Arabidopsis thaliana: one gene and its partners. The protein of the gene in region 2 interacts with the protein of the main gene of each other region in a pairwise test. Each region holds a gene or a part of one and is shown on either strand. Other genes may lie near its edges.

What was found.
Region 1: the proteins of SAD2 (region 2) and MYB7 interact in a two-hybrid assay, tested with the Arabidopsis thaliana proteins (one study listed by BioGRID).
Region 3: the proteins of SAD2 (region 2) and MYB4 interact in a two-hybrid assay, tested with the Arabidopsis thaliana proteins (one study listed by BioGRID).
Region 4: the proteins of SAD2 (region 2) and MYB32 interact in a two-hybrid assay, tested with the Arabidopsis thaliana proteins (one study listed by BioGRID).

Annotation. Positions count from the first base shown.
Region 1 is NC_003071.7:7,254,506-7,259,495, forward strand, and holds MYB7 (myb domain protein 7), read right to left. Parts: upstream 2,327-4,990; 5' UTR 2,046-2,326; coding exon 1,783-2,045; intron 1,711-1,782; coding exon 1,164-1,710; 3' UTR 968-1,163; downstream 1-967. UniProt on the Arabidopsis thaliana protein: Transcription factor involved in the negative regulation of flavonol biosynthesis.
Region 2 is NC_003071.7:13,461,751-13,468,022, forward strand, and holds the start of SAD2 (ARM repeat superfamily protein), read left to right. Parts: upstream 1-2,543; 5' UTR 2,544-2,768; coding exon 2,769-2,861; intron 2,862-3,168; coding exon 3,169-3,304; intron 3,305-3,387; coding exon 3,388-3,484; intron 3,485-3,850; coding exon 3,851-4,000; intron 4,001-4,394; coding exon 4,395-4,557; intron 4,558-4,698; coding exon 4,699-4,883; intron 4,884-4,955; coding exon 4,956-5,129; intron 5,130-5,347; coding exon 5,348-5,493; intron 5,494-5,575; coding exon 5,576-5,699; intron 5,700-5,780; coding exon 5,781-5,961; intron 5,962-6,221; coding exon 6,222-6,272. Other genes in the region: ATX1 (homologue of trithorax), read right to left, coding at 1-431.
Region 3 is NC_003075.7:18,050,884-18,056,153, forward strand, and holds MYB4 (myb domain protein 4), read left to right. Parts: upstream 1-2,476; 5' UTR 2,477-2,982; coding exon 2,983-3,245; intron 3,246-3,407; coding exon 3,408-3,993; 3' UTR 3,994-4,157; downstream 4,158-5,270. UniProt on the Arabidopsis thaliana protein: Transcription repressor involved in regulation of protection against UV. Mediates transcriptional repression of CYP73A5, the gene encoding trans-cinnamate 4-monooxygenase, thereby regulating the accumulation of the UV-protectant compound sinapoylmalate.
Region 4 is NC_003075.7:16,659,976-16,664,980, reverse strand, and holds MYB32 (myb domain protein 32), read left to right. Parts: upstream 1-2,431; 5' UTR 2,432-2,691; coding exon 2,692-2,954; intron 2,955-3,049; coding exon 3,050-3,611; 3' UTR 3,612-3,880; downstream 3,881-5,005.

The DNA of each region.
Region 1 (4,990 bases), 6.2 Mb from region 2:
CAATCATTAGTCAACCTGCAGTTCGTGTGATCTAAATTGACCTGTCGGGTCCTTGATATTGTGTAACCTAGTGTATCTACGTGAGACACTCTGATTTTTACATATTTTTCATGTGATATTAGTAGATCTATTTAGTTTGAAGAAGTCCTATGTACCCTACTGAAATAATGTAAATTATTTTGTATAAGATTTATTATAAACTTTTATTTGCTAAAATCCTACGGAAGTCTTTAAAATATATAGTAATGACTTGAAACATGTACCATCCAACCACTTCTCATCCTCACACAACTTATCATCACCTACTTCAAAAATCTCAAGTTTCTAGAAGTAAGCATAGTGAAAATAAATAAATAGTAAGAATTTAATTAATAGGATAGTCCCCTAATCTCTATAGAAAATTAAGCATTTTTGTCATTTAAAATGTTCACTATATGGCCAACCACGATCAAAATCAAGTAAAAGGATATTAATTCTCGTTGTGAATTTTATTATAAATTATGAATGATTTTTTTTTTTTTTTTTTTTTTTTTTGAGGTGTGCAAAGAATTTTCTTTTGATATGAAACAAGAAATGCTTTTTCGGGTAAACCTTTCTCTTAAAGTAATTAAATTGTTATAACCTTGACTGGTTTCCTCATATTATTGGTCAATTAAAGATATATTTTACACCATACACTAATTTCTCTTTTACGTAACACATGGATGGTTAAAAAATTTAAGAATTGGTCAGAAGCTTGATGAAGCAAACCGGATCAAAAAATGATTGAAAAAAGAATTTGACATGACTACAAGACCTATTAACTGTTAGATACAAACGAAATCATTTTTCATTTTTCAAATGAATAAGGGTATAGACGTTAAATCCTATCGTATATTATAACTAGATTTAGGAATTTATAAGTTCTAAATCCTATCGTAGGTCGGAGAGCTAATTAGTCTACATGATGCCTGATGGCAAATTCACGTGTGGATCTCTATCAAAATGCTCATCGATCTCATAGGAACACAAGGTCTTGCGGTAATCTGATTGAAAATTTCAAGTTAATATACAAATGTTGTGGAAAAAAGGAAAACAAAGATGAAAAAAAAATAGAAAGAAGCAAAATTAAGAATCTAACATTCATTATCACACCTACAAATTAAGAATCTAATACTATTCATTTATTTCATTTCCAAGCTTCGAAAATCCAAAATTCTTGTCTTCAAACCCAAGAAGTCATAACCAACGTTACTACTACTAATATCAATAGAAGAATAGCTAATGCTGCTACTATTCTCTGTTTGACATTTCACAGTTTCACTACTACACTCCATGTCGTTTTCCATGTAAAAACGGGACGCAGTGCAAGTAGATATTTCTCTCTGGTTTTGCCATGGTGGACTGATCCTAAGCTCAAGATTCAAATCTGGGCCTATTTTTTCTTCAACAACAACTCTCTCTTCTTTGCAAACTAACCCATTTCGAATATACTTATTTTGCTTCTGGTCCCCAGACTTGTCTGTTTCCTCAAACTTTGTCACAAAAGAAACATCTTTTACAATTTGGTCCTTTGTTTTCTTCAAATCAGAAATTTTTGCCTCGTTGATCCCTCTATGAGTGGCTGGATCAATCCCTTTGCTCAAAAGCTTCCTCTTTATATGTGTGTTCCAGTAGTTCTTGATCTCGTTATCTGTTCTTCCAGGTAATCTCGCCGCAATCAAAGACCACCTAATAAAAAAACAGAGGATAAGTTTCAAGAAACAGAGCATAAGCTATATAAAACAGAGCATAGGGGCTTACTTGTTGCCTAGGAGGCTATGAAGCTTGATGATAAGTTCATCTTCATCATGTGTAAAGTTTCCTCTTTTGAGATCAGGTCGGAGATAGTTAATCCACCGAAGACGGCAGCTTTTACCGCAGCGAAGGAGACCAGCGGCTCTAGGAAGAGATCGCCAACAACCTTCACCGTGAGACTTGATGTAAGAGACTAGTCTCTCATCTTCTTCTTTAGTCCAAGCACCTTTGTTCATGTGTTCTTTCTCGCAGCAAGGAGATCTTCCCATGACTCTCTTCTTCTGATGATGATGATGCTTTTGATTCTGTTGTTGAGGGTTTTATGGAGAGAGAAGGGGAGAGAGGTGTTGGAGGTGGAAGGTGAGCCTAATTGCTTCTAGAAGAGAGTTGGTAGGACACGTTTGAAGGAGTGGCTGGTGGGGCTCTTGATTTTTGTTTAATCTTTTATTCTACATCAAACTATAACTGCCACATTCATATTATTTATTCAATATTTTATACCTTTCTCTTCTTGATTTTCCTTTGATGTTTTAGATCTCATAACCATTATTATTCACAATTTTTGTTTTCCTTTCAACCATCAAATCTTAACATATGAAATGCTACAAAATTGCGGTTTAACAAAACACTAGCTTTGATCGTTTTAATAATAACCAGACCCGGCCCAACATAAATTTGAGTCTTAGGGTAAATGTTTGCTTTTTTTTGGACCTTTTGTTAGGTAAAACTTTTTTTGGGCATCTTTTGCAATTATTTTGAAGTATATCTTGAGTGTTTTAACATTTTACAAAAATATTGGCTCTTTGGTATATAAAAGTCATTTAGAAATAAAATCAGGGCCTTTTAATATATATTTTAAAGAAATTTGGGGATTTTATCAATTATATTTTGACAACTTTTTTTTCCAAAAAATAAAAAACTTTTTCTTATGTAAATTTTTTTAAATAGGCATAAGGTTTGGACCGTCGCACTTTCGCTCCACCCTAATGAGTCGAGCCTGATTATAATAAATAAAAGCTTTATCATATATATTACTCTCAGAGTCTTAATGGAAACATGCAGTTCAACTGCGGATAAAGTGCGGTGCAGTTCAAATAATAACAAATATATATATATATATATGCAGAGAATTTTATTAATGTGCGATTCGGTCACCATTCGAATTTTTTTCGTGACTCATACCCCTATTTTATACTGTTTTTAACTATTATTGAATTACTTATGATTTTTTACTCGTTCAAAAACTTGTACAGGTTTGTATTAATAATCGGATCCATTATACTTTTTCCTCCAAATATAGAAGTGAGCCGCTTTATTGTCAACTTTGAAATCTCCTACTACCATTTTTTTTTATTACCAAAAGTAGCTTTTTATTATTTCTTATCGTTATTATAAAAGTAAATATTTATCATCTTATGTTATATTCCGGATCTATAAGTACCGATAGTTTATTTTGACAGAAGAAAAATAGTGGATATATTGTAGGTTTGAATTTGCGGGATTAACATAATTTTATTTAGATACGATTCATATGAAAATGTTATTACTTGGAAGATCGACGAGAACAAATTATATTTAAAAAAAAAAAAAAAAAAAAATATTTATGAATCTTCTACTCATGCATCTTTCAAGAACTTGGGTTGCTTTGCGGTTGACTTGTCTTCTGTCCACAGAACCTTTAAATTCGTCGTGAAAGTGTAGCATATGGTGCTGAACATAATGTTTTTCTAGCCAAAAAAAACACAATTTATTGGATCCGATTGGTAACCTATAAGAAAATACAAAGAGTAAAAATGAACATGATTAAAAAAGAATAAATAGAAAAAGAAAAAATTATAAAATAAAAATAAAAAGGAATGAGTGTAAAAGAAAAATAGAATAAATGTTATTGTAAATGATAACCCAAACATAAAATAAATAGTATAAAAATGAAAAAATAAATAAAATATTTTCTAAATTAAATATTAAATAAACATGGACGTTAAGAAAAAATATCAAACAAACGTGGAGGTTAAAAATTTAATTTTTAATTAATATATATTTAATTTTTTTTTCTGTTTATTCCTCATCAAATTTGGGAAAGAACAATTTTCTTCTACGATTCCTCAAAAAATAAGGAACGATTAAGAATAATGTGAGGTCCACATATAATAATTTGGAGAAAAAAATTACTGTTAAATGGTAAAAAAAAAGAAACATGTTGTTCCTGTCTATTGTTTTTGTAAAAATTGGTCACCAATCGGACCCATTAAAACTGAAAATGCATAGAAAAAAAAAAGAAAAAAAAAAAGTATTCCTAAATAATCAAAATTTTCACAATTGACTCAACCAAAGTGATAATAACGAGATGACAAGCTTCAATTTATTTATTTTGGTAAAATGCTTCAATTTATGTAATTGGTATTATCCTACATATTTTAAAGAAAATTGGCAAAATCTCATATTCCATTCCAAATTAAATAATCAAAAATTTCGTAAAGTTCACACCCTAGTCAAAATCTATTAACACCAACCATTGCACCGTTGAATTTTATTTTCTAACAATTGCAACCACGTGTCACCGATTTTTATCCTCAATATATATAAAAACACGAATACAAACAGATAAATACACACACAATAAAAAGATAGTAGGTGTTCTAGAATATCAATGTTATACCAAACTCATATATCACTATCATCTTGTTGGGACAAGCCCTATGTGCCCCCATACGTGACGCCTTGTGGAGGAATAGTCCAACTTCGTTTAATACAAAATTATTTATTATCATAACTCCAACTCTTCTTTTTCATTTTTCTAAATTCTAAATGATTGATTGATGGGTTCAAAAATGTATGTTGGATGAAAAGGTTATGTTTATTTAATTTAGTTGGTTGCGTTTTTTAGATTGCTTGTTCTAATATTGTTATACTTATTTAATGAATTAGTTAGGACAAGACTTAATTGATAAGTTAAATTAAGCCCTTCAATATTATATAAACTGCTAGTCCCTTTGAACCTAAAAGATAAACCTATAGTTTATCATATGATATACGTAATACGTCCGCATATTTAAACTAATGTCAGTTTTTAAATATTAAGCTCAAGTTCGGTTTGTAATTGACGGTACGATTTTTTAATAAACAATATTCACCTATTGTTGCTTGAAATGTGGTGGTATTAATTTAAAATATTAGAAATAGTCTGATCTTGATCGATGAAAAAAGTAGCTCG
Region 2 (6,272 bases):
TTCACCAACTCACAATTACCAATCTTCCTTCTCTTCTTCTCCTCAAAACAATCAATTTCATCAAGCTCCACACTTTCAGTCTTCACAGCCACCGCCTGATCTAGTAAACACTCCCGTAGCGGCCTCTTACGGCGACGATAGTAGACGCGAACAATCTCAGGACGCTGAATCCGCAACTTATAATCATCCGAACGACAACAATCGTCACTAGCACTAACACCGCTACCTTCAATCTCGAATTGCTCAATCATCGGAAGCTTCTGGGCCTTAACCTTCTTAGACATCAGACTGTGAGAACCAACGGCATTAACACAGCACAATGCCGATGAAGGAATAGAGTAGATACTCTCAATAGAATCGTAGCGAATCGGAGCTTCCACTAGATCGTGGACATCAATTTCGATCTGGGTTTCGTTAGAAAAACACGCCATGGAGATTATTCGGAGGGAGAAAGCACAGGGCTTCGTAAAGGAGACACCTTTGCTCACTCTCTCTATCCTTCTTTCACTAAACCCCCAAAAAAATTGCTAGGGAATTTCGTGGATTGGAGAAATTAGGGTTTAGGAAGAAGAATCAGAGAAAAAGGGAAAAAAACAGATCCTTTGGAGGGAGAAGCTAAAAGGCTTTTTTACGTTTCCCGCCGGGTTTATTAAGATGATGACAAGTCTTTCAGATCTATTGCTCTGTCTCCTTATATATCTCCGCATACATACATTCATATATAGTGTGTGTGTGTATGTATATAAAAATTAATATCTGGTTAATAAAAACATATAAAACTAAAAATAAAATAAATAAAAATTCCACTTGTAGAAAAAAAAAATCCCGGTTGTCATGTATTTTATTTTCAACAAGAGTCTTTTTTTTTTGGGCAAAATTCAACAAGAGTCTCTGATTCTTTTATATAGTTTTGTTTTCAGATAATTGTTGTTTACCAGTTTTTGTGTAATCTTCACTACATGGAATTTGTTTTGTTTTTTTTCAGTTCATACGTATATTTTTGGGTTTTTAGTCTGTTAAGTATAGTGTATAAGACATATTTTTCTGGTTAATCCAAATTAAATTCCATTGGAACAAAAAGACAAGATTGACTAGAATTTGAATGAAGGTAGAAATCAACCGAATTGCTCATAAATTCAATTATTGAATGGGGTTCTTCAAGTAATACTACCTATTTTCTCAAATGAGCTAGAGAATTTTCTTGTGAGGAAATTCCAACGATTTGCTCCCTTGGTATTACTTGTTTTGGATTGTTCTGAAGTTTTCTAGAATAATATAATATTTCAACCTAAAAAGCTTAGTTTGTGGATAAATAATCAAACATATGTTAAAGATTTTTGTGATAGATACAAGATTTTTTCTATGAATCGGACAAGTGGAACTCTAATCCAGTTTTTAAGGTGTGATAAGTTGAAGTAAAGATATGAGGTTAAAAGAAACATTTCAACTCACTTCCCTTATCTTCATTCTTAAATGAACGGCTATTCATAGCAATTACTTGATTTGGATTCATAAACCGAATATCTGTCTAGTAGGAGTAGTCTTTACTTAACTTAACTAAAGAACAATATACGGTTGACTGTAGTATATTAGTATGCTTTTGACACATGGAAAATACCGCTGCTAACTTGATCGCATCCAGTGACTTTTGCAGTGTGTCATATATGTTAATAAGGATGTAATCATCATGGTTAACAGTAGTTGCATTTTCTTATGCGGTAGCATACAATGCTCACTAGTGCTCTAAATTGATCCACATAGGGATGCTATACACGCTAGAGACATATATATTTAAAAGTAAGTAAGGTTAAAATACTTGCTTTCATGAGCTTCAAGATAGGTGATGTGTGTACCTCCAAAGTTCTTCCCATCAACTAGGCATTAGAATATGTCGTTTCCTAGATACTTGGGGCAGATTGGCGGCTTATCAGCTTTTCGGATGAAATTTTGATACTTGGACAAACTGGCAGCTGATGGATGGAACTTATTGTCAAAGTATCCATATAGCGTTTGTTGGTTGGCTTTCTCTAGATACCCACAAAATTTACACAACACATATGGCCTATGGTCACAAAATTCTTTGATGTCATCTAACATTGGGATTCATCATCGCTTACATGATTTACGTCCATATATACTTGGACATAAATATTATGGAATGAACAATTTTAAATTTTCATCAAAATACCAACCACACTCACTTAGGATTATGACCAGAACAAATAAAATAATACATACTTGATTAAAAGGAGAAAAACATTTTTTTATGTCTTTGTTAGTTTTTATTTTAAACTATATATTCATCAAAAAAAAAGAGGGAAAATCACATTTTCAGACACATACATGTCCAAAAATATTTGTTTTCCCCTCAAATTCACCTGAACTTAATTAGTAAGAGAATCAGTGACGTCATTTAGTAAGAGAAGACCCGGTTCGGAATAAACCGGCTAAAGAAGACCCGGGTCAATCAGAATCAAAATTGGGTGGTTTTGGTTAGTTAAACAACCCTAGGGATTTAAATACTGTAAATCGTCCAGCTCTATTTGTCCCTCTCCTCCACTCTCGCCAACTATCAATCAAATCTTCTTCTCCTTCTTCTCCGCCATTCTTGTCCCTCTTAAACCCTATCATGCTCTTCTGAGATTCTCCCCTCCTCTAATTCAGCTCTCTCTCTTGGTTGGGAATTTCAAATCGAATATCAACCACTGCCTCTGATCGTCATCAAGGTTTACTCTGTTTAGTGTCCGGATTCTCAAACTCCACGGAGAATGGATCTGCATAGCCTCGCTTTGATCCTCCGAACCGCCGCTCTTAGCCCTATTCCCGATGAGCGTAAAGTTTCTGAGCAGCAACTCAATCAGGTTTCTCAGTTTCCACTTCAATTTCTCTTTCGATGTATTTACACGGTTGCTTGGTCGCGAGTTTGATTGTTCTTATTCTGCTAGTAGTATCTTAAAGTTTGAGCTGAGTTCATGTATAGAGTTTCCTTATAAGTTCACTTTCTGGTTTTACTGAAGATAGTTCAAAGATTCCCACTCTTTTTGAACAAATCGTTATTTGCTTTAATTCACTGTAGCCAGATTTCAGTGGTGTTTACTATTTCTAATGATCAATTAAAGTTATGCAGTTTCTGATGCCTGAGTTTCTCGTTATTCTTTTGTCTTGCAGTTGGAGCACACGCCCCAGCATTTGGTGAGGTTATTGCAGATAGCCGTGGATGGAAATTGTGACATGGCAGTGCGTCAAATTGCTAGTATTCAGTTCAAAAATTTAATTGCTAAGAACTGGTCACCTGAGGATTGTGGTAATAATTTTGTATTCTAATTATCTTGTCTCGGCTTAGCGTTTGGAAGATCTTTAGATTAATTTGCATATTTGATGGTGCAGGTCCTGCAGTAAGGCAGCAGCAGATATTTGAGAGTGACAAAGAATTGGTGAGGGACAATATTCTCGTCTATGTCACCCAAGTTCCAACCTTACTCAGGTAAATTTGCCAGATAGCTTTTGGAATTATCATTCAAGTCATTTGGTTTGCTGAACTCTGTCTGACGTGGTCTGATTTTAAGCGATTTTATGAAAATATTTGTAACCTGTATGGCTAATCATGCCTACAAATTGCTCATCATCTTGTCTGATAGATTGTCTTCAAGCTGATAGTCCTCTTCTTTTATATATACATCTTTGAATGTGTCTCTACATTATCCTTAGGTTCTAGATATTAAAAAACGGCAGATAGAAGATGATTTTTTTTTAAGTTAGTATTTTTTTCTCATTACCTTGGTCCCAATAGCATCTTCTATAAGCCTCAACAACAACCATAATTTTTTTTTCCCCTAATTTTCTTATCCAGATCACAACTTGGAGAGTCTCTCAAGACAATTATTTATGCTGACTACCCAGAACAATGGCCACGTCTTCTGGATTGGGTGAAGTACAACTTGCAAAATCAACAAATTTATGGGGCTTTGTTTGTGTTGCGGATACTCTCTAGAAAATATGAGTAAGTTCACCACTTTCTGTTCCGTATCCCTATGTCTGTGTGTATGATTTAAAGGTTTGTTAGTGAAATTTTTGATATGCGTTATTGAGACATCTTCAAGATTATCTTTGGTGGCAATAGCGCAATTTCGAGTCTTGCATGTATCACACTGAGTAGTGACTAATAAAATTAGGTGGTAACCGATAATATTAAGAGAAGGGAAAGAAGTGTTAGGCAGGAGAAATGAGAGTGTTTAAAACGTATTGTTAGAACACAATGGTTTTCGTGTCTCTGTCAATTCATGATGTCCTGTCAAGTATGTGACGACTTCCAGCTAGAAATGCAAGTTGCTCTTTATATGATGACACCTAAGTAGTATATCCCGTTGATGATGTTTCATGATTTTATTTTCTAGGTTCAAGTCAGATGAGGAGAGGACACCGGTTTCCCGCATTGTGGAGGAGACATTTCCTCAACTTTTGACTATTTTTAATGGGCTTATCCAGATACCAAATCCGTCTCTGGAGATAGCAGAACTTATGAAGTTGATATGCAAAATATTTTGGTCATCCATATATGTAAGTTGCTAGAGAGATCAGTTACATATGCCTCTGCGGAATTTCACATTTTATCTTTCTTAACATAATATGCATATCCTTAAAACACAATTCAAACCAGTTAAGCTGTTTAATGTCTTTTTTACTGTTCTCTGTGGGCAGCTGGAGCTTCCAAGGCAATTATTTGATCTAAACGTCTTTAATGCCTGGATGGTTCTGTTCTTGAGTGTTTCGGAACGTCCTGTTCCAGTTGAAGGTCAGCCTATGGATCCGGAACTTAGAAAATCTTGGGGCTGGTGGAAGGTCAAGAAGTGGACAGTGCACATTTTAAACAGGCTCTATAGTCGGTATGTCTTTGACATTAATATTTTTTTAACAAGAAAGTACGCTTGAAAGGTTTATAGAATATTCTTTAACAGGTTTGGAGATCCAAAACTTCAAAGTCCAGAAAACAAACCTTTCGCCCAAATGTTTCAAAAGAATTATGCAGGCAGAATTTTGGAAGGCCACCTAAATTTCTTGAACACAATTCGTGTTGGAGGCTATCTTCCTGACAGAGTTATCAATCTTCTCCTTCAGTACTTAAGCAACAGGTTTGTGTTACAATCACTTGTAGACATTAGTTTCATGTACATACATGTACACATTCAGTATCCCCACTTGGCTAACTTAAGTATCATCTTTTCTCTGACATTATAAAATTTTTTTTTGGTCACTGAATTTTAAGTTCTTGGAATTAATTAGAAAACTCTTAGAGGTTTAGATGTTTTGTAAAAAAAAATTCGTTGAAACTAATTCGTTGTTTCTGCAGCATTTCGAAGAATAGCATGTACAAGTTGCTTCTGCCTCGGCTGGATGTTCTGCTTTTTGAGATTGTTTTCCCTCTAATGTGCTTTAATGATAATGATCAAAAGCTTTGGGAGGAAGACCCTCATGAATATGTGAGGAAAGGTTACAGTAAGTACTACATAATAATGACTTTCTTAAAAAGTCTTAATTCTTAAAATCATCATTTGTAATGTTATTTGTTGTGCTGTAGATATCATTGAAGACTTGTACAGTCCGCGAACAGCGTCCATGGATTTTGTAAATGAGTTGGTTCGAAAACGTGGGAAAGAAAACCTTCCGAAGTTTGTTAAGTTTGTCGTTGAGATCTTCTTGAGGTATTACATTTGAGCTCTTCTGCTTGGAACTTTTCATATCAGTTGTGTTTTATTGACAACTTGTTTGTCCACTGTTTGTAGTTATGAAAAAGCTACTGTAGAGGAGAAGCCTTATCGCCAAAAAGATGGTGCGATGCTGGCTGTTGGAGCTCTTTGTGACAAATTGAAGCAAACGGATCCCTATAAATCTCAACTAGAGCTAATGTTGGTGCAACATATTTTTCCTGATTTCAATAGTCCAGTTGGACATCTTAGAGCAAAGGTATTTTTGGCTTTAATCTGTGTTGTGGATATCTCAGTAATCCATTGTTACTAGCTTACCGGAATGAGGATTTTGTTTTGCATTTCCACGAAGTCTGTTGTACTTCAATTTATTCTAGAACGCTTAGCATTGTTGCTTAGTTGGCTACTGCATTGCTGTCGATAGTTTAGTATAGACTTCCCGTTGTTACCCAGTATTTGATGTCATATTCTTTGTGATCTCCTTTGATCTGTTTGACGGTTGCATTTTTTTGGATGTAGGCTGCATGGGTAGCTGGGCAATATGCACACATCAATTTCTCAGATCAGAAC
Region 3 (5,270 bases), on a different chromosome or scaffold from region 2:
CAAGAAGAAAGAAAAATGTAACAAACAAGAAAAGGCTCGGCAAAGAAATGAAAAAATCTCAACTTAAGAAATAAAAATGTAGACGCACAATTAAATACCTTCACATTTATATACATTGGTGGATATGGACCTCTCTATCCCTATTATATTCCACTCTTTACAAATGGTGTGGTGTGACAAGTTATGTGTATAATTAATCATCCACCGTCACCAACCATCCACCTTATTTTCACGTCTCGTAAGGGAAACAGATCATAGTAGCATCTTACTCTTCTGAAATTAAAGACTCTATCAGTTTATCACAACTCAACTATTATGGAAAACTTAACTTATTCTTTGGTCGTCAATAAAATCTAATCTTTACCTTGAGATCAAGGTGATCTTAATTCTTGTATCTGAATACGCAAAGTTGAAATTAAATATCAAACAAATGAATCCATTATTAAAACAATAATAATAAAGTGGAAGGTGAACCAAATCCCACGTCCCAACCGCATACGGACCTAAATAATATATAGTTTTTTTTTGTTTTTGGCAGCAACCTAAATAATATAATTATCCTACTCTTTTTTAATATCAGTATATTTACTTAAAGAAAATGCCAAATTAATCAGTACATTGTGATTTCGCTTCTATATTATATTTGTGACACAAGTTTTGCTTTTATATTATAGCACATCGCTATTTCCTCCACGTCATTTACAATCCCATTAGTAGTACTACTAACAAGTAATAACATATTATTCCTAAAACAAAAAAACAAAAAAAAACAACAGAGAGAATAATTCACCTGGAGAACTATTATTCTCCCATGATGTTAAAAAACGTTTTGCATGTAGTGTTGCTGCATTTGGTTTTTCATAAAACAATATTACGAATTTGTCTCTTACAATTTAGTTGCAAGAAAAAAGAAAGAGCAGTAAATAAGTTAATTGGGTATAAATAGTGAATGTGAAAAACTGACTGATTGGGGTTTAATTTTGATTCAGATGTAAATGGACGTAAACTTTTGTTGATGAATTGAAGAATCTTGGCCTTTAGCTAAGAACCTAACCTTCTAGAAGAGGGCCATCATCATGCATGAGGTGAGTGATTTTGTACCAATAGATTAAACAAATTGAAATTCAACTACTCTCTCTCTCTCTCTCTCTCTTTTTCGGTTTTTTCATCTTTTTCAATAAACCATTATTCTTTTTCGTTTCTTCTCACATTTTCCACCTAACTTACCAAATTTCACAATTAAGTTCAACTTTTTTTGTTTAGCATACATGGACAGTACACAGTAGATACTATAGTTTAATTATTCTCTCCTATATACTGTTATGTGTTCTATTCTTCAACTATTCTCCTGACATACGAATTACTACATACGTATATGATTAGTGTTGTCGATCGTATTCTAAAAATATAGATACGATTAGTGCTATAATAATATTCCGTCCAGTTAGAGTTCAACATTATTAAAAAAATATCTCTTAATAAGTCTTGATTTTTCAAGTCTCTAATATGAAAGAAATAGAAGTTGGTTAGAGAAAACCATTCTAAGTCAAGGTTCTAGAAGGCACATTCTTTAATTCAAATAGTTTATCATATATGTATATTTCTAATTTATATGTATGTGTCATGGTGGTTCTTGTTGTATTGTTTTTATACTGAAATATTAAAGAAACATGAGCATCATCACAAATATTTTAAACATGAAGTGCTTGTCATTTGGTGAGAGTAATTTGAAAACCATATATAAGTTACAAGTTATCCTGCCCACACATATAATTAGTTATTTGATAATGCTTTGTTTAATTAGCAAGTGATTGTATTAGGGTTAAGTTCTAGATATATTATTGATTAAAAAAACAATAACTAATCCAGTGCAGTCTATATATTAGAGAAAAGACTGTTGACCAGTACAACAAAAACCTCATAGGCTATATAGTTGACCTGCACTTGTCCAAAAAACACTCATTAACTTTACCACCTACCTCCACTACTTCATTATATCTTCTCTTCGTTATTGCTACCAAATTATTCAAGTTTCCCCTTCCTTTGTTAGACCCAAATTTTTACTTGTGACCTATAATATCTGGCGATAAAAGCCATTCACAAACTTTTTGTTTTACTGAATTTTAGGTTTTCTACATTAATTTTCACCCGCCTAAGTTTTACTACAAACTTAATTCATACGATAGGTAAGAGACTCCAAAAAAATAAAAATAAATTACTGTTTGTACTAAATCGGTCGAAGTTAAAAGACGATTTGTCAATAAATGTACACAGTCGAATACTCGAATTGTCATGTATTGATTAATTTCTTGACAGAGTTGGTTTATATTTTGTACTAAATAAAACTTGTTGCAAAGTAAAAAAAGAAAGAAAAAAAATTAAAGAAGTAGCTAAATAATTTTGGTTTATGTATATACGAACACGAGAAATTTCTTTGATTACATATATATATATATATATATATTTAAGTGAGAAATATTAAATTTGTTGTCATGATTATTAAAAAAATGTCATAGCTTTATCAAAAGACTATGATGCCATATATGTCAAGCTTCTCACTTATTGTACCAAAACGAAAGGCCACCATACACTACTCATTCAAATCCATCCCACCAACTCACATCTAGAAGCAATTATAAGTTCAACTCTCTTTCTCTCTCCTTTTCTATCATCTAGAAGCATTTGTGTATATATATATATGTGTGTATATTCCTCTCTAGCTTTAAGTCAAAACCCTATATAAACTATACACCAAAGCTTTGAACCTTCAACCAAACCCAAAATCCAAGTGCCCCACCAAATGCTTCAATCCTCTTCCACTACACAAAAAAACAACTTAATCCCTTTATACCCTTTTAGCCAAAACCCTCGCTAAAAGCCAATCCCTCAATATAAAATAACAAGTAGAATTGATCTGCCTATATATAAGATTTTGAGACGAAATAAGATCTAAACCACAAGAAAGAAAGTAAACATAAAAGTATGGGAAGGTCACCGTGCTGTGAGAAAGCTCACACAAACAAAGGAGCATGGACGAAAGAAGAGGACGAGAGGCTCGTCGCCTACATTAAAGCTCATGGAGAAGGCTGCTGGAGATCTCTCCCCAAAGCCGCCGGACTTCTTCGCTGTGGCAAGAGCTGCCGTCTCCGGTGGATCAACTATCTCCGGCCTGACCTTAAGCGTGGAAACTTCACCGAGGAAGAAGACGAACTCATCATCAAGCTCCATAGCCTTCTTGGCAACAAGTGAGTACTATACTCTCTAAATATGGGCTTATTTAACTAGCTAGTATCGTTTATACCCAAAAAAAAACAAAAAAAACTAGTATCGTTTTAATTTATACAAAATGAAAATCTTGGAGTTTTCAATCTATCTAAATGATGTTATTTTTTGTTGATGATATATAGATGGTCGCTTATTGCCGGGAGATTACCGGGAAGAACAGATAACGAGATAAAGAACTATTGGAACACGCATATACGAAGAAAGCTTATAAACAGAGGGATTGATCCAACGAGTCATAGACCAATCCAAGAATCATCAGCTTCTCAAGATTCTAAACCTACACAACTAGAACCAGTTACGAGTAATACCATTAATATCTCATTCACTTCTGCTCCAAAGGTCGAAACGTTCCATGAAAGTATAAGCTTTCCGGGAAAATCAGAGAAAATCTCAATGCTTACGTTCAAAGAAGAAAAAGATGAGTGCCCAGTTCAAGAAAAGTTCCCAGATTTGAATCTTGAGCTCAGAATCAGTCTTCCTGATGATGTTGATCGTCTTCAAGGGCATGGAAAGTCAACAACGCCACGTTGTTTCAAGTGCAGCTTAGGGATGATAAACGGCATGGAGTGCAGATGCGGAAGAATGAGATGCGATGTAGTCGGAGGTAGCAGCAAGGGGAGTGACATGAGCAATGGATTTGATTTTTTAGGGTTGGCAAAGAAAGAGACCACTTCTCTTTTGGGCTTTCGAAGCTTGGAGATGAAATAATATTGTCAAATTTTAGGCGTAACTGTACAAAACTTTTGCCTAGATAATTTGAAAGTATATCTTCAACTTGTATGAGAAATTTAACTGGTGAATTATAATATATAGAATTTGTTTTTTTTTCTCTTTTACAAATTAACTCCATTGGCATAAATATTAAATACCGGATCTAGACGATCGGTGATAAAAATATAGATCATTAGATCGTATAGCTCTATTGTAATTAATTTGTATACGATTAAGATTATCAGTTTATGAGGTAAGATTAGGTTGGTTGCCCAAATAACTCGTTATCCAATGTTGGAGATAAGCCAAATAAGGAGAAAAAAGATTACGAGTATGGCAAAGATACTTGATCACATAATACTTAGATTGTACTGGTATAGATGATACCTTGTTAAGATCTATAATTAAAGATCTAGGAGAAGAACGTGAAACAGAAGATAAATCGAAAATGTTTCATGACAAGTGGAAAGTGAGGTTTGTAGTTAATTTGGCAGGAATAGAAAAGTTGTAAGAGAAGGAGGTAGGAGAAAACTTAAATGTTTTTAAGATAAAAAAAGGAAAGAAAGAGATATGTGAAAAAGAAAAAGAAAATAATGAAAACCATAAATGAAGGAAAGGAAGCAACAACCAATGGACCCTTTCTTCTACCAAACTCTATTTATTTCTCACTACCCATCTCCCTACCAACCTATATACCAACCTTTCCTCATCTTTTGTCCACTTGCAAGCGATCTACATCTGCATACATACATACATACATACATACATACATACATATTACACATGAATGCATAACATACATATACTGTATATCCATATACCACATAATATATTTATGCATGCATGCATATAAAAATTATGTATAGGAGTTTCATTGAATGTAGCCACATGGTTGAATTTAGAAAGAGTAGCGACTCGTAAACTTAAACATTGTTCTATCGTAAGATGCTTGGTAAAATCGGTGTTGTACATGTTCCTTCGTTGATATCCTCTCCTCAACACTACAAAAACCCTCTCTAGCTACTACATTAATTATCATCTCAAATCCCAATAGAGCAGTATATTATTTCCTCGTATATATTTAGATTTAGTTTTAAAATTGATCAAATGGTTATATACTCCAGTTGTGTGTTTGTTTTTTTGTTTTGGCCAAAAATTGGTAAGATCTCAAAAACTGGTATAATCACTTGAGAAATTATATGATCACCAAATGACAAGTTGTTGTCACTAGCACTGGGGCTTGATATATATCATATTCTGATGAAGATACAAAC
Region 4 (5,005 bases), on a different chromosome or scaffold from region 2:
AACGATGCTCTTATTTGGGTATTAAAGAAACTATTAATCGTCTATCGAATCTATTTTGCTGCTACAAGATTCTAAACTCTTTGAATCCACGATTCTACTGTTTAGTAGTAAAAAAGTTAAAAAGTCAATATTTTGGGTCCGTGATTCATTTTTGCGATATTTGTTCATTGCAATGTTCGTTTCACTTATTAATTAGTACCAAAGAAAAAGAAAAAAGAAAGAAACAAAGATCGGTCGATATCTACCAAAGTGGGGACATAACCTGAAACTTGACCTAACCTGGTAGTGGTAGGTTTAGTTAGGTAGGAAACTTCTACTAAGAAATTAAAATTAAATTTTTTTTTGCTTTCGTATTTTCATTAAAGAAGATAATATATGATGTTGGTTGCCAGTTACCTAAATATAGGCTCGGGATGACATGTAATGGACGCAAAGTAGCAAATAGCTTTATTCAAGTTGACATAAAAGAATTGTTGTTACGTAAAAGAAGTGTACTGTATTTTAACAGAATGTGAAATCACCTAACAATAACTTATATAAGAAACTAAAAGAAAGAAACGCATGTCTTCTAAATTTGGCAAGAACGAAGGTTTTGTAACTTGTAAGTAGTTTAAATAAATAAACCATACATTTTTAATAATTAGGAAATATATGTTACATGTTGCACTTTGTATACATTCTAAAAGTCGTATAATGTACCTATTTTTTTAAGATTTGTTTGGTGTGTGTGTAGATAACAAATCACATGTCAATTCTATCCCATTTCTATTTTCTTCGTTATTAAATATACAAATATGTCGGTAGGAGTTCAGAGTAAATGTACACCATGAAATCTACCAAACTCTTTTAAGATTGTCTTTCAGGTATCAAACAAACTTTCACCAATAAAGCTTTTTCCCTTTTCCAAATAAAGAACTCCAAACAAGAATAAAAACCACAATCATTATTCGATATGTTTTTATCGATACTTATTTCAAAATATCCCCTTACCTATTTACAAAAGCATTTCACGAATGTTTTTCTTAGAGTCGTCGTATTTTCATATATACTGATATTAGCTTAATTAGCTCGTGATGACAGCAAAATTCTTGAATATTTTGTAGGCCATGGTCTTTGTAACTTGTCAAGAACATAGATACGTCGGATAAATTCATAGATATCAATTCAAATGATAAGCTAGCTTACGAAAAGCGTTTCTCAAGAAACTATGATTTTTTTCTAAGAATTAGTTGGTCGTTACGATAAATAAGAAACCTTGAATTGATGGAAAAGAAGATAAGGAATTAATTAAGAGATTGGTAAAATGGTAGTTGAGAAAGTAAAAAGGTCACGTGTTAGGGCAAATCATTAATGGAAGAAGGAGAAAGCAGGTAGAAATGCACTCTCCATTTTCATTACATTACAAACTCCACGTGAGGTTTCACCGATTGTAGGAACTCCTGATTTTGTGTTAATTACTCACAAGTAATTATCATATAGCGCGTAGCTAAATATTAGTATAGGATGTAGGTTTTACTTATATAATGCTATATCTCACTACTTTGGTGAAGAGAAAATGGATATTAAAATTTAAACGGTTGATACATTATCTGAATAGTTCTTATATATACGAAACGATTTGTTGAGATATGTTTTAACACTTCTTAAAGGAAGTAGGATAAAGTGGAAGGTCACGAACCACTCCCCATATTGCAGCCAAATCTACACCAAACCGTACCCAAAAATGAAATTAACTTTCCCTCAAAACCAACCTTGTTTGTGTCTTCTAGATTAATCCTCCAAACTTTTGATTAACCAAAAAAATTATCAAACTAACATGTTCTCCTTTTTTCTTTAGAAATTCTAACGAATTTATCTTTATACTGATTTGAATATACTTAATTTGGTCATTTGGATGCCCTTTACAACCTCCTTACCAAACTCACTATGGCAAATATATACTATTTTCCATTGTAACATAAATGTCCATAATTTGAATTAAATTCGTTGCAGTACGAAACCATCCAACTTTGTCCAAAAACAAAATCCTTATAACTATTTACTTTAATGTAAATATATCCTCTACTTTTGTTTTTACAACCCTAGCTCAAACAAATTTATTATTTGCGATATAAAATCATATCGAACAAACTCGATGATTTTTTTTTTCTTACGTTATTAATGAAACTAAAATATAGAAAAAAACAAGATGAACCAAATTTTCACCTATCTAACTACTTAAATATAATATGATTAAATTTGGTAAAGTTTGAAAAGTTTCTTTAGGAAATGTGAAATATTGATCACAGTTTCTATTGCTAAAATCACCAACAAAACGCATGTCGCCATTCATAATTATGGTTTCACACCTACAACTAGGCTAATAAGTAAATAAGTAGACAACTAGACTCAGGTTTGAAAAAACCATAAAAGCCATATAGCGTTTTCTCATTGAAACTGCGAACACGATCGTGTGAATGTTGCAGTTTCTAGTTTTGATACAAACAAACAAAAACACAATTTAATCTTAGATTAAAAAGAAAAAAGAGAACGGAGCCCACTAGCCACTCCTTCAAACGTGTCTTACCAACTCTCTTCTAGAAACAAATTAGGCTTCACCTTCCTCTTCCAACCTCTCTCTCTCTCTCTCTTTCTCAAACCGTCTCTCCATAAAGCCCTAATTTCTTCATCACAAGAATCAGAAGAAGAAAGATGGGAAGGTCTCCTTGCTGTGAGAAAGACCACACAAACAAAGGAGCTTGGACTAAGGAAGAAGACGATAAGCTCATCTCTTACATCAAAGCTCACGGTGAAGGTTGTTGGCGTTCTCTTCCTAGATCCGCCGGTCTTCAACGTTGCGGAAAAAGCTGTCGTCTCCGATGGATTAACTATCTCCGACCTGATCTCAAGAGGGGTAACTTCACCCTCGAAGAAGATGATCTCATCATCAAACTACATAGCCTTCTCGGTAACAAGTGAGTCACAAAACAACTCCTCTGTTTTTTTTACTATCCTCTGTTATGTTAAAAAGCTCTGTTTTTTAAACTCTGTTTTTTTTTTCTTCTATCAGGTGGTCTCTTATTGCGACGAGATTACCAGGAAGAACAGATAACGAGATTAAGAATTACTGGAACACACATGTTAAGAGGAAGCTATTAAGAAAAGGGATTGATCCGGCGACTCATCGACCTATCAACGAGACCAAAACTTCTCAAGATTCGTCTGATTCTAGTAAAACAGAGGACCCTCTTGTCAAGATTCTCTCTTTTGGTCCTCAGCTGGAGAAAATAGCAAATTTCGGGGACGAGAGAATTCAAAAGAGAGTTGAGTACTCAGTTGTTGAAGAAAGATGTCTGGACTTGAATCTTGAGCTTAGGATCAGTCCACCATGGCAAGACAAGCTCCATGATGAGAGGAACCTAAGGTTTGGGAGAGTGAAGTATAGGTGCAGTGCGTGCCGTTTTGGATTCGGGAACGGCAAGGAGTGTAGCTGTAATAATGTGAAATGTCAAACAGAGGACAGTAGTAGCAGCAGTTATTCTTCAACCGACATTAGTAGTAGCATTGGTTATGACTTCTTGGGTCTAAACAACACTAGGGTTTTGGATTTTAGCACTTTGGAAATGAAATGAAATGAAATACTATATTAATCAATTTATAGCTGTGAATTGTGATATAAAAGCTATTAACAGACTCGTTCATGGTTCTCAACTTTTCTAATAACTAGTAATTTTATTCATATCATAGTTGTTAGGATCTGTCGTCATATTTGATAATCTACTAAAAAGATGCGAAAATGTTCGCCATTTGTAAGTGTCGCATGGGTGTAATGCTTTGCTGACAAGACATATGCATTCAAATTCGATCCTTGGTATATTTCTAGAATTTTACTCGATAATCCAACCAATGTTTGACAAATGTATGTCGATGGTTATTCCCAAGAGATTGGACATATCAATGAAGTGGATAAGCTGTGTAAGGATGAGAAGCGTGAGAACGATTGAAAGTGTACATGTTTTCTATTCATTGCAACCTTTTGGCATATTTCGTTTGATTATTTTTAGTACTAATTCAAAGCATTCACTGTGTTGGTAAAATGTCTTTATCACATTAATGTGTTGTTCACTATATTAAACAAAAGTCACTCACCTTATTTCCAAAACTATACAAATATATACATATAAGAACTTAACTAGTGTGGTTTGGTTTTTTCCAAATGTTTGTTTATGTAAAACAACGGACATCAACCTAAAACTTTGGAGTTTAGTTTAGTATCAGGCTAGTGGGCATAATTAGGTTCTTCTACATGTGATAGTGTTAAAGATACGAAATTTCAAGAAATGTATATTGAGACATATATCAAAGATTGAACGATATCAAAATAGATATATGAGTTATATTGCTTTGACCTACTTGATGGATATTTTCATATATAATAAAGTGCAAAATGTAAACTCAAGATTAGGATAACCTATATGAGCAACAAAATATGGAGAGGAATTCTGTAAACAGTCCGAATTAGCTTTCAATGTATAGTTTGTACTTAAATTTTGGTGACGCCTACTAAACAGTAAACACACCATAAATCGACACAAACTACCTGTAAGCTTTTACTGACTATCAAATTAATTCAAATAGATTTGAACCGCAAATCAGAATGATGTAAGTAAGCTAGAACTCAAAACGAATAAAACAAATCATACAAGTTGACTTCTGCATGATATACAAAACTTGGTTGAAGTCCAAAACAATAAATTCAGCCTATCAAAATAAATGGCCTAGTATGAGTAGCCCAATGCATCAAATGGGCTTTTCAACATTGGGATATGCGACTGGGTTGGTGGCATGCCCATCTGTGTAAAACCTATATTATCCTAATCTCTGAGAAACATAAAATAGTATTTTCATCAGAAGTTGAAATTATAGCCGTTGTAAGCTCATATAATGGACGAATATAGTAATATTGAGAATCACTAAAAGTCTCTGTTCCGTCGCTTTTATTGTCCAATTGCAGTGACTCAGATTC